Linked DNA regions of Mus musculus: regions 1, 2 and 3 are each reported to be linked to region 4. Evidence: microRNA targets listed by miRTarBase, many of them from high-throughput screens and not tested one by one. Region 4 holds a microRNA gene; each other region holds the end of a gene's coding sequence. Distances are between the middles of the regions.

What was found. The annotated mature microRNA mmu-miR-297a-5p reads AUGUAUGUGUGCAUGUGCAUGU and lies in region 4 at 1,913-1,934, opposite strand. An mRNA with a match to its seed (bases 2 to 7 or 8) in the 3' UTR can be bound and repressed. Matches are read on the target gene's strand: a 7mer-m8 pairs with bases 2 to 8, a 7mer-A1 pairs with bases 2 to 7 and ends in A, and an 8mer does both.
Region 1: the mRNA of Slc6a7 is a reported target of mmu-miR-297a-5p. Seed matches in the 3' UTR shown: 7mer-m8 at 2,583-2,589, 7mer-m8 at 2,579-2,585 and 7mer-A1 at 2,363-2,369.
Region 2: the mRNA of Tm6sf1 is a reported target of mmu-miR-297a-5p. The part of its 3' UTR that is shown has no 7-base or 8-base seed match.
Region 3: the mRNA of Prex2 is a reported target of mmu-miR-297a-5p. Seed matches in the 3' UTR shown: 7mer-m8 at 905-911.

Annotation. Positions count from the first base shown.
Region 1 is chr18:60,993,867-60,997,030 of GRCm38, forward strand. It overlaps Slc6a7 (solute carrier family 6 (neurotransmitter transporter, L-proline), member 7), which reads right to left. Exons shown (of 14, transcript NM_201353.1): 14 at 1,514-2,965. The coding sequence ends at 2,753. Among named protein-coding and RNA genes, the nearest start is that of Gm46632, 15 kb to the left of the region's middle.
Region 2 is chr7:81,883,061-81,886,205 of GRCm38, forward strand. Tm6sf1 (transmembrane 6 superfamily member 1) reads left to right here. Exons shown (of 10, transcript NM_145375.4): 10 at 155-1,019. The coding sequence ends at 346. Hdgfl3 (HDGF like 3) reads right to left here. Exons shown (of 6, transcript NM_013886.4): 6 at 1-3,023. The coding sequence ends at 3,018. Among named protein-coding and RNA genes, the nearest start is that of Tm6sf1, 26 kb to the left of the region's middle.
Region 3 is chr1:11,297,094-11,300,257 of GRCm38, reverse strand. It overlaps Prex2 (phosphatidylinositol-3,4,5-trisphosphate-dependent Rac exchange factor 2), which reads right to left. Exons shown (of 40, transcript NM_029525.1): 40 at 1-2,550. The coding sequence ends at 2,505. Among named protein-coding and RNA genes, the nearest start is that of A830018L16Rik, 120 kb to the left of the region's middle.
Region 4 is chr7:10,956,565-10,959,728 of GRCm38, forward strand. It overlaps Mir297-1 (microRNA 297-1), which reads right to left and starts at 1,948; the gene lies at 1,873-1,948.

The DNA of each region.
Region 1 (3,164 bases), not on the chromosome of region 4:
TGAGCAAGTGCCGTTCTCTGAGATGCTCAGCCTGAGTCTGCAGGGCTGACAATCTGCACCCAAAATCCATACTACCAGCTACTCTTAGGAACCTAGGGCGTTCGGCAACCAGGCTACCTTCTGAGACAGAGCATCACCTGATAGACATGCTTCATTTTCTAAGTTTCAACACCCTAGTCCCGCTCTTGTCCTGCCAACGCCCACTATGGGTCTCTTGCTCAGTATTTCCCCATCTCTATCGATATCATTACTCTCCTCGCCTCCCTAACTGGTTTTGTGGACCCTGGTGGTATCAGCTAACCAGTACCTTCTAGACTGCAGGCCGAGGTCCAATTGTGGATTTAGCCAGTGTTCCCCTTGGTTTCCGACCTGTGCTGTCATGGAGCCTTCCAGATGGGACCTCTGGTTCCCAGTTGGCTTTCCCACCTGGCTGGTGTCTACCCAAGTCTACTGTGACTCAGAGAGATCAGAAATCAGTAAAGGACTTGCCCTGGGTGCTTGGGAGATGGCACAAGCAAAGGGAGACTGTGGCCCAACAGGAAGGCCAATCAGAGAGCACAGAAATGGGAAAGGTGTGTTGGCTGGCCCAGAGACGGAGCATGGGTAACAAGAGAACTTGCAAATCCGGGGCCTGGGCTGGAGAGGAGGGATGGGGAGGTGAAAAAGTTGGGGGTTCAAGGGAAACCTTGAGAGCTGAGGTAGAGGCCACAAAACTCGGGTGACCCATAACCTTCTGACCCTTCTCACATGGCAATGTGGAAGAAGTGACGTCTCAGCTCCAAGGTCCTCTCGTCTTTCCTTGGTCGCCTGCTGCAGCCATGACTAGGTGCCCAAGGCAAGACCCTCAGAACCACAGCTCTGAGTGGGCAGAGTGAACCAACTCCCCAAATTGGGTATGACAAGGAGGCTGCAGGCCAGGGGCCCTGCCAGAAGCTGGAAGCTGTACCCGGTATGGGAAGAGGAGCCTGCCTTGGGAACGGGGGTCCTGCATCACTCTTTTCCCACCTGGAGTATCAACAAAGGGGTGGGCGGGTCTGGCCCTTTGAAAGGGGCAGTGTATTAATACCCAAATATCAGCCACCTTCCTTTCTTCCCCATCAAAGCCTTGCAGACACCTGGGTCTGCATTAGAAAGGCTTAGGGCTCTTTCATGTGTTGAGGCCCTGCAGGAAGCGGGTGAGAACACCGGGAGATTCCTCAGCTTAGAAAACCCAAGCTCCAGCCTCACTTGCAGGGATACTCTGGGGTGGTGGTGAAGGCCGCCAAGACCTGCTACCCTCCCCGCTTTGGGCAAGTATCTCTCCTCGGGGGCTCCGTTTGTCTTTATGTAATCGGGAGACTGAGCACTTTCTAGGGGTCCAGTGTTTCTCCAGAGACATTACAAAAAACGAGCACCAGAAGTCAGGATCGCAAGAAACAGGAGCGGCCAGCCCTGGGCCCCTCCTCTGTCCAGTGGGAGCTGGCAAGCACTCCGCGCCGCCCACTGTGCCTTTTGTAGCAGAGTCAGGTAAAGATGACGATGCCATTTGGGATTTATTGACAACCTACCAGAAGAACACAAATGGGCTGGGGAGAGGCCAGGAGAGAGGTCACTCTTAGGTCATATGCTGCATGAAACGTGCCCTGCTCTCCTGGGGAATGCAGTGCGTGGGCCACACCTGAACAGCATCTCGCAGGGACCCAGGACAGAGGCTGCCCCCTGTCAGGTGCCCTGCAGCATCAGGATGTCCGACGTGTGGACCACCTCAGAGTCTCGGTAGCCATTGTTATTGGAAGCCACAGCGGCAAGGGAGAAAACTCTCATTTCTCATTCCTATCCCCATGGTGGGAGCTCTTCAGGACGCCTGCCAGCCCAAGGATGGTATCCAAACGGTGAAGGGTGGGCTCTACCCACTCCCACCCAAGCATCTAACTCCAGCCATTAGTACCTCTCTCCTGTCCTCCACAGTCCTCCCACCTCTATACCTGTCCCTAATCCACCCCCAAACAGACCTAAAATGCTATACAGTGCCATGCAAGTCCCCCCACCCTGCCTTTCTGGCTCCCCCTCCCTGCTAATAGTCCTCATTCCCTCTTATAACCTGGGAGCATCAGCATCTCCAGCCACTCCTGGTCTCTGCTCTGGCAGATTGGGCCTCCTCCTGGCCCAGCGGCAGCTCTGACCCATAAGCCTTCCCTCCTGCATGTTCTGCAATCTTTCATCTCTCTCAGCCCCCAAAGCTCCCACCTCTTCTGGAAAAACTGGCCTTAACATAGGAACCCACAGAGACTTTTCTGCCCAATTCACTCCCTGGCTCTCTCTATCCAGGACCTTGGGACTCTCCAGCGTTCCACTACCCTGACCCCGGGGGTTTAAAGTTGGCTTGTATGGAAATGTATCTTGTCAAAATGTCTGAACAATGATATCAAACATGGTGCTTGCTCCCCCCAAAGAGAAAGGGAGTTGGCTGGCTGGAGGCTTGGGAACAGGTCCTCTTGGGCATGTGACTTTGGTCCAGACCTTCTCTCCCTGGCTTCAACACATCCCTCACAAACCAAGGGCTGAGCTGGATCATTTCAGCTTTGAATGAGTTACCTAGTGTATGTATGTCCATCTAGATAGAGGTTCCAGGAGATGTAGAGGCCACTAAGAGGGACTTATGCTGGGGACTGTCGTTGCCACGGCAACCTCCCATTGCCTGTCAGAATCCCCTGCAGGCCACGGAAGGGACTGTGAGGCCCCGACCAGCCCTCCTATTTGGTGGTCTCTGGCCTCACATCATAGACTCCTCCTCCTCCTCTGCGATCTCACGGTCCACCTCAATGGCCGTGTTCTCGAAGCTGGTGATGCCCCCGTATTTGCGCATGTGTACCATCAGTGGCTTTGGTGACTGGCTCCCAGCCAGTGTGGCCACATACATTCCCGTCCGGTTCTCTTCCAGAGATGGGCCCCAGTCCATAGCAGGCCGACTGGCTTGCTGAAGTCTCTGCAGTAAAGCAATGATAATGGACACTGAGCATTTATCATGGCCAGGTACCCTGCAAAGACCTGCCTATGCCCAGTGAGAATCTGCTCTGCCACTTTGGGACTGGTGGCCTCCAGGCACCATCTGTCAACTCCACACTGGGGCACGTAAAGAGGACATGACTATTTAGTTTTGGGAATAGCGTGGTTGCTAAGGTTGT
Region 2 (3,145 bases), 71 Mb from region 4:
GATTATATATTAAGACTGGATTACCTAAAGGTATTTTGCCTTTAAGACAGGTTTTGAGGGCACATGGTCTGAATGAGACACTCAGAATTCATCATTAATCCAAGTGAACAGAGCTCATCCTTACTGTTTTTTTGTTTTGTTTTAATATAAACAGGCTCAGTTTTCTCACATTGGTGCGTCCCTTCATGCTAGAACTGCTTATGTCTACAGAGTCCCCGAAGAAGCGAAAATCTTTTTTCTAGCACTAAACATAGCATATGGAGTTCTTCCTCAGCTCTTGGCCTACCGTTGTACCTACAATCCCGAGTTCTTCCTAAGAACTAAGGCAGATGAGAAGTTGGAATAAACAAACATACCTCACAGTTCTCTCTGACCTGTTAATGGGACTGGCGCTCTCCTTTATCCCCTCCATACAGGAATACTCACAAGAACACACTTGTTCTGCAGCATACATGTGAGTGAAACTAAGGGTAGTATCTGGGTATATTCTCAGTTTTGAAAGAAAATTAAAGTTGAGAAACAGCTTTTTTAAGGAAATATATCACCATTTGTCTATGAATGTGACCATTGATTTTAGCATTGTTTGCACATAGTATGTGTGAAAATTACAACTCTAGTGCCTACAAAAAGCATAAAAATGAAACTATTCAGAAGTAACTAACCATACTATGCATAAGAAATAATTCAAAACAGCAATTGCAGGTTGGAGAAATGGCTTCATATGAAATGTATGAGTTGTTGACAATCTTAATATAAATGCCAGATCATCACAATATTTTTAAATTGATTCAAGTGTTTTCACAAGGAAAGCATATTATTTATTGCCATTTTAAAAATTGCTGTCAAAACTTCTATTGTGAATTTGAATAGCTAAGATGACACAAATCAACTTTATTAGTTGCCTTAATGAACACTTGTTTTATTGGTTGATAATATTTCTCTTGTGTTTCTGTGTATACCTTCAATACTGTGTATACCTTCAATAAAATTATTTTTGGTGTTTATGAAGATAAACTTTATTAATTTTGAAGCATTTTATATATACATTTTCATGACAAATTTTGAACTTTTTATTTAAGAAATCTGTGCCAGGTAGTGGTAGCACACGCCTTTAATCCTTGCACTTGGGATTCAGAGACAGGCTGATCTTTTGAGTTCCAGGCTAGCCTGGTCTACAGAGTGAGTTCCAGGATAATCAGGGCTACACAGAGAAACCCTGCCTCAAACAAACAAACAAACAAAAAAACCTTTGTTATATGTTCCAATTTAAAAATGCTATCTACATTCTCCATATGTTTTGCATGATAATGAAGAGATCTTTTGTCAAATTTCATTATTTTAAACTAAAATATTTAAAATTAAAAAGTACCTTTTAAAGAAAAAACCCTGACTTAACAGCCTGTCTCTTAATGAATTTTCCATACATGGAACTGCGTGAGCACAACAGGGGACCACTGATTGCTAACCGGCAGGAGCAAGCCCAAAGGACAGTGATGTCCTGGAGGGAGGGGTGAGTAGACCAGTGCATCCAGAGCCCCACATCACCTCCATCTTCACAACGACACTGGGCTCTTAGGTCTTCTTCTATTTTCTCTTCACGTTCATTAGTTCTTCAACACAGTAAGAACACCAAAAGCAAACTGGATGCACGGAAGGCTGTGTGTAAATGCAGGGTCCCCTGAGCTGGGCTGTCGCAGACGTGCAGACAGCCCCTGCTGCTGCAGCTCCTGCTGTTGCTCCCTCCTGTCCCCCCACGGCTTTCACTTAACCTAACATCCAGAATACTTAAAAAGAAACATGATAGAAAAAATAAAATTTTCACCTGCACTTAATTCTAATGTCAATTTGCTGTCAATCTTTGCTATAATACAAGAAACACATTAATACTTCACATTACACATATGAAGCCAAATAACACTAACTCGGCTGTTTATAACCTCAAACCTTACTCCCAGTACACATTCCAATAAATTTATTCTGTAAAAACAATACATTTTTTTGTTTTTGATTTTTTTTTTTTACAGTAAACTTCTCAGCTACAAACCTCAAACACACACAAAAGATCTTCCAAGGACAAGCATAGCAGGGTTGATGAGACCCAAACTGACTAATGAGTTCTCACAGTATAAGCTGGCATAAAAATAAATAAGACTCTATCACCACAAGAGCGACAGTAATGCACACGTAACAATGGTTGGCGGATGAACGTTAACTACTCTAATTCTAGTTCTAAAAGAAAAGTCTATTTTAAACTCTGTACTCAAGAGTCAATGCTTTGTTTCCCACAGTGCTCCTGCTGAGCTCAGCTTTCAGTGTAAAGTGACCATCTTGAGGGATTGGCTCAAATTGTATTGGCTTTGGGAAAAAAAATAAGTCCTTGCTTTATTTTGGTATGACACAAAAAGACTCAGTAAGTTCACATATAAACTTAGTTTGTGGACACAGGAACATGAGTTTTGAGAAGTATTAAGTTTCAACTAGCTATTTCTAATACAGAATAGGTATTGTACATATGGTTAAACTTTACACATGGCCTTAAAACTGAAAGATGACTCTAACTTCATCTCCAATACACCAACAGTATGTATCTAGGAGTTGGTTCTTGGGTTCTGCTACAAAGAAAATCCCATCCTGAAGTATTATGTTGAGCAGTCACCTAACAATATGAATTACTGTTTAGCTGAGTATCTGATGATGGTGGGAGAGAGGCAGGAAGCTGATGACTTGGAAAAGGAGCCTAGACACAGAGAAGTCTGCAAAATCTTCATCATTCTTAGTGATTAAGGGCAACTTCATGCAACCAAATAACATAAAATAAAGTCAACCTTAAAAGGGTTAAAATGTCTCTTTTTCCTTCAACAGAACAGAGAGGAATGTGACTAATGCACACACATACTGGGGCTCTGTCAATGACAACAAAGACCGTTGGTTCATATCAAATCCAAATCCAAGAATTAGACAATCAAACAGTTAACCTTCTTGTGGTGTCTCTCAATATGCAGCATTCATTACGGTAGTTAGGTCTGTAAAAAAAAAAGCAAATAAAACAAGCCTTAGATGAGCTAGGACACTACCGAGGGAAGCTCATCACCATCACCCTGTGGGCACTGGGTTCTTGTCCTTTGCAGTCTGAGTCAGCATCACA
Region 3 (3,164 bases), not on the chromosome of region 4:
GTCAGAAAATAATTATTAATATTATAATGGTACTCATACAACAGATAAAGGCAGTGCAATCCTTAAGACAGGTTTTAACCATTAACTTCGGACTCCCCCATGTTCATCAAGTGGACTTGTGCAAGTCACTGGGTTAGTATTTGCTTAGCAGAACTGTGAAGTACAGGTAATAAGACAAGGTCAGCTTTCATCCCTGCTACAAGGCTATGTGAAGGAGGAATATCAAAACGTGGGCTAGGTAATTAAAGGTGCCATTTAGAATACACTAAACCATGTCAGCTATGATTTTACTATGAAAAAATATGACAGTGATAGACGTTACTATAAAACACTAGCAAGCTTTATAGTTTGTAAGTGCTGTGTACACAAATAATATGTTTAACAAAAATGATAACATTAACCACATTCTGTTATATAGACTGGATCCTTAAAATACACTAATTTATAAATACTGAAAAAGCAGATAATATGCCCAGGCAATATAATCATAAAACCTTCAGAAGGAAAGAATGTTTTGTGGACCATTTGTGTGTGTGTGTGTGTGTGTGTGTGTGTGTGTGTGTGTGTGTGTGTGTGTGTATGGCAGTTTTAAGTTATTAGTTTTCAAAATCAGTATTTTTTTAATGGAAACAACTTGACCAAAAATCTGTCACAGAATTTTGAGACCATTAAAACAAGTTTAATGAGAAAAAATAAAATAAGCTTGCTTCGTAGCCCTTCTGTTCCTCTATGGAGACTTAGTGAGGCTGGTGAACACAGAAGAGTAAAGCAGTGTGAAGGGTCTGCCTAGTCGGGCAATCAGCTCTCCTTACGCTCAAGACTTTCAGAGAAGGCAGCCTGAACTACCAGAGCTTCACACTTATATGCTGATGATAGCAAAAATATTAATCCTGAAAGTTATGGATGTATGTCACATATATGCAAACGTAGGTCATATCTTTATTAAATTCAAAATGCTAAGGCTTTTTTTTAGAAACTAATGTTGGTTTCTCTATGATTAGTCACAAATAGATTTACTGAAAAATCTTATGTACTCTGTGATGAATAATTTTCACTCTTAACTTGTAGGATATATGTATCCCATACCTTTGAAGCACACTTTTAAATTCAATATATCACTGGCAGTAATGATAGCTTTTAATGATAGTCTGAAATTCATTATGAGATTTATAAAGTAAAGCTGAATAATGGTTTGCCAAACCTGTAGTTAAAGTAAGGAATTCATGTGCTTAGCCCATATCCACACACAGTTCTGTGCTGTTAGAGGTCTTTGGGCCAGTGATGCACAGCCTATAGGAAGTGGTTCCATAGGTCATAGTGTCTGAGGCCACAGTCATCTCAGCTTGTGTAAGTACACCCCATGACATTTATACGATGATAATATCACCTAAAGGCACAATTTATTCCTGTCATTAAACAAAGCACAACTATCATAATCACAGTGATGCTGTTTTAATTATTTGTAAAGATATATATTTAAAACCAATATTAATATATTTATGTGCTAAAATAATTTTAGTATATTAACACAGAAGTGATAAATATTGCATATACTTTAGAATGAATACAGTCTATACCTTGGTTCCATAAATTATCAAAGTTTTTCTCTAATGACCTTTTGAAGTACAACAAATAAATCTATTTTCATATCTTACACATATAACTTGATAGAAAAATTCTCAGGAAGGTGTGTTATTTTAACAGTCTGACATTTCATAGTAAGACTTCATATAATTAAGAATTTATCTTTCTCTGGCAAGGGGTGAGTGGTCAATACATGTATTATTTTCCATCCTCATTCACTCCTCTCTCTCCAACCTAGCAACTTCCTACCCACCGCCATCAGTGGTCCATCACGCAGCACTCATGGCTCATTGGAAAGATCAAGAAAAGCACCTGCCTACTGGAGTGTTTACAAGACCAGAGACTAGACATAACAAAAGGGAAAAAGTCTTGCCAGAACCTCTGAGCTCTCTTTGTTACCAGGAAGCCCAAGAAGAAAGGGAGGCAGGTACTTCCCTACCTCTCATATGCGCCTTTCTTGGTGACTCAAGTGGTATATGGGACACCTGTAACTCCTCATCTACACTGTCCTTAACGTTTCTGTATGATTGTTTCCAGAGTGTGGTCATCATTTTTAGGACAGACTTCTTCAAGAAAAACTATCAAGTATAATATCTGTCCATTGGGGAAGCTAAACACAAATACAATATAATTAATGAATGAGAAAGGAACCAAAATAGTTAATCTTTTATCTCTGTATATTTTTCTACAAATACGAGAAGTGAATTTTGCCCTAATGTGAATCTGTATTCTTAATGTATAGAGTGTAAGGCTGAACTGTCTGAAGGAACTTCTAGTTCCAGCATAAATGTCCAAACCAAACATCAGTTATTTACATCATGGGAAAACTTTAAATCTTTAATTTGCATCTCTTTGTCTTCGGTGGAGAATGTTAATTTGGGCAGCATCTGGAAGCATCTGTCCCATGGCACGTGGAATGCTCATTCTTCTCCTACTGGAGGTGGTGGCTCGCAGAGCTTGTACAGCCTAGAAAGGACACAGGACAGCATAACAGTCACTTATAACACCACTCTTACCTGAATATTTTTTATTGGTAGAACAAATACATCAACACTAATTTCTTGGCTCCATCAGCCATCACTACACTGATTATACTGTAGAAAATAGCATCTGAATCAGCTTAATCTAGTTTTGGTCCTGTGATTTCGAAAATGCTTCTCTTTCTTTGTGCATGTTTAGAAGGCTGATCATTTAACAGTGGTTCTCAACTGGCCTAATGCTGCAACCGGCTAATACAGTTCCTCAGAGTTTGGTGACCCCTAATCATAAAATTATTTCACAGCTACTCCCTAACTGTGATTTTGTCACTGTTATGAATCATAATGTGAATATCTAATATGCAGGAAATCTGATATGTGGGTCTTTGAAATGGTCAATTGATCTCAAAGTGACCCACAGGTTGAGAACTTGCTGTTTTAGAAGCTGTTGATTTGCTCTAGTCTGTCTGTTTACTTTGCTGGTAGTAATATCTCTTCCCTGAATTGTCAGAGGCAGTGTCATTATGATAATTAATACCTTGTCTAGCATAGCTATCTTGCAGTGATGGAGTCTCTATCTTGTGGGTATCTACAGATTTTCTT
Region 4 (3,164 bases):
AGAGACATGATCCAAATTCTCTACAAGTCAAATTGTAACTTACAAAGAATACATACACAGTATTCTCCTTGAAAATTGGCAAGTGATATTCATGTTAAGTGAAAATAGACACAAAGGTATCAACATATTCTTTTCCTGAGTTTTGTTTTCACAATCTTCTGTTAAATAAAGAAAGTAAGACCTCTCTCTCTCTCTCTTTCTCTCTCTCTCTCTGTGTGTGTGTGTGTGTGTGTGTGTGTGTGTGTGTGTGTGTGTGCGTGTGTGTGTGTGTGTGTTTGTGCATGTATGTGTGCGCATGTGTTTACAGGAGTGGGCTCAACAAATATGTCAAAGTGAATAAAGTTGTTTGCATTAATATGAGCTTGCCATGATTTTACTCTTCAGACCTGAGCATAATAAAGGGACAAGTCCCTGCCATATATCAATCTATGACATCAAAGACAAGTTGGATTCTTTTTTTTTTCCATTTTTTATTAGGTATTTAGCTCATTTACATTTCCAATGCTATACCAAAAGTCCCCCATATCCACCCACCCCCAATCCCCTGCCCACCCACTCCCCCATTTTGGCCCTGGTGTTCCCCTGTACTGGGGCATATAAAGTTTGCAAGTCCAATGGGCCTCTCTTTCCAGTGATGGCCGACTAGGCCATCTTTTGATATATATGCAGCTAGAGTCAAGAGCTCCGGGGTACTGGTTAGTTCATAATGTTGTTCCACCTATAGGGTTGCAGATCCCTTTAGCTCCTTGGCTACTTTCTCTAGCTCCTCCATTGGGAGCCCTATGATCCATCCATTAGCTGACTGTGAGCATCCACTTCTGTGTTTGCTAGGCCCCGGCATAGTCTCACAAGAGACAGCTACATCTGGGTCCTTTCAATAAAATCTTGCTAGTGTATGCAATGGTGTCAGCGTTTGGATGCTGATTATGGGGTGGATCCCTGGATATGGCAGTCTCTACATTGTCCATCCTTTCATCTCAGCTCCAAACTTTGTCTCTGTAACTCCTTCCATGGGTGTTTTGTTCCCAAATCTAAGGAGGGGCATAGTGTCCACACTGGGATTAAAGGAGTATATCAGCACTCCTGTCAAAAATTTTTAATTAAAAATAGATTGGTTGATTGCACATGGGTGTTTTCCTGCATTTTTGTATGTCTGTTCAGCACCTGCATGCCTGGCACATGTAGAGGATAGAAGAGAGCATGTGTCCCCTAAAACTGGAGTCAAAAATAATTGTGAGTTACTTTGAGTGCTGTAAGTTGAACAAAGGTCTTCTAGAAGAGCAGCCAATGCTTTAACTAATGAGTCATCTCTCCTGATCCAGATTTTATTTCATTTTTTATTATGCATATACTGTGGGAGCTTGTGTATGGATCTGTACACACAAATGCAGTGCTCTCATTAGCCAGAAGAGGGCACAAGAAACCCTAGAGCTCCAAGCTTAATGGCAGGATTGTAGAAAATATATAGATTAGTCTAATTTACACAATGAATTCCCATCCAGCCAGAGTTACATGGGTAGACCCTGTCTCAAACAAATAATTATGTATGCTGAACAACCTCCAAATTGACTAGAGTGAATACCTTAAATTGATTCAGTAGCTAAAAGGGTTTGTCAGGTCCATCTCTTTATTCTGCCCCAAAGGAAGAAACATAAGCAGTCCCGTTGACAATTTAGCTGGGCACTGGAGAGATGGATGGCTTTGTGGTTCAGAACATTGGCTGCTCTCTTCGAAGCACCTGGGTTCCATATCCTGTACTGACATCAGGTGGCTAAAACCATCTTTAACTCTACTTCAGAGAAACCAACATCCTCTTGATCATCTTGAAGCACCTGCATGCTGTAGTACACATACAAACACAAGCAAATACATACATGTATGCATAATATATACATGCAATATGCATACATGCACATGCACATGCACACATACATACATACATACATATTCTTTAAATTTAGCTCTAGGGCCTGGCATGGTGGGACATGCTGTTAATGCCACCTCTGTGAGACTGTGGCCAGGCAATTCTACATAGCAAGTTCCAGACTAGTCAGCTTCATAGTGATACCCTTTCTCAAAAACAAATCAATTAGCTTTTGCACATGCATGCACTTGAGAAATTGAAGTAGGAGGGTCAGGAGTTTGGGGTTCATCCAGGCCTACATGAGATCTCCACCAAAAAACAAAATCACTTTAGCCAAAATGATTAAATTGTGAGGTGTGCAACAGTATATATGACACACAAAGATGCATGAGCTTATGTACAGGAAGAGAGCAGAAAGGACACTGAGTGGCCTGCTCTATCATTCTCTGCTTTTTCCCCAGGCAGGATCTCTCACTGTACTTAGAATGGGGCCCCAGTGTTCTTCTGTTTCTGTTCAATAGCACTGGGGATATTGGGCAGCACATACTTTTTCATGTGGGTGTTGGGAAGCTGGACACAAGTCCCTAGCTTGTGCAACAAGTGCTCTTACCCACTGAGCCACCAGGAAATATGTAGTAGATTTTTTTTTAAATTTAATATCAAAGCGAAAAAGTCTGCATGATTAAAACTAAAGCCCTCGTAGCATGGTGGTATATATCTCAGCTGAAGACAGAAGAAAGACTGTAAAACTCGAGGCCAGCATGAGCTATCTAGTAAGTTCTAGACTACCCAGAACTACCTTGTAAAACTACATTGCAAAACACAAAGACAGTGAAATAATCCATTATCAAGTATTGCAGAGAAACCCAGCTTTCCAGCGTGGAAGTGGAAAGAGCCATCTGGGACAAAGTCTGCATAAAAAGACGACTGCACAAAACATGGGGAGCAGATTTTCTAGCTTGCTCTTGCTGCAGGGGGCCTTCCTAGAGGAAACCAATTGTTCCTTCTCCATGGAGAAACTCAGATCCATGAAAGTGGGGCAACGTGACTCTGTAATCTTATATTATCCATATTTCATGATACAGGAAGGACTATGTGCCTCATAGACCTAAATTAACACGAACAAAGAAGAGATTAGAAATTGCTTCTCCCTTGCTATGGAAAGAGACAGCATTTCACAGGGCCATTTATTGTCACAGTAACAAATGTTAACTTTGGAACTGGAGAGATAGCTCAGCGGTTAAGAGTACTGACTGCTCTTCCAGAGGTCCTGAGTTCAAATCCTAGCAACCAAATGGTG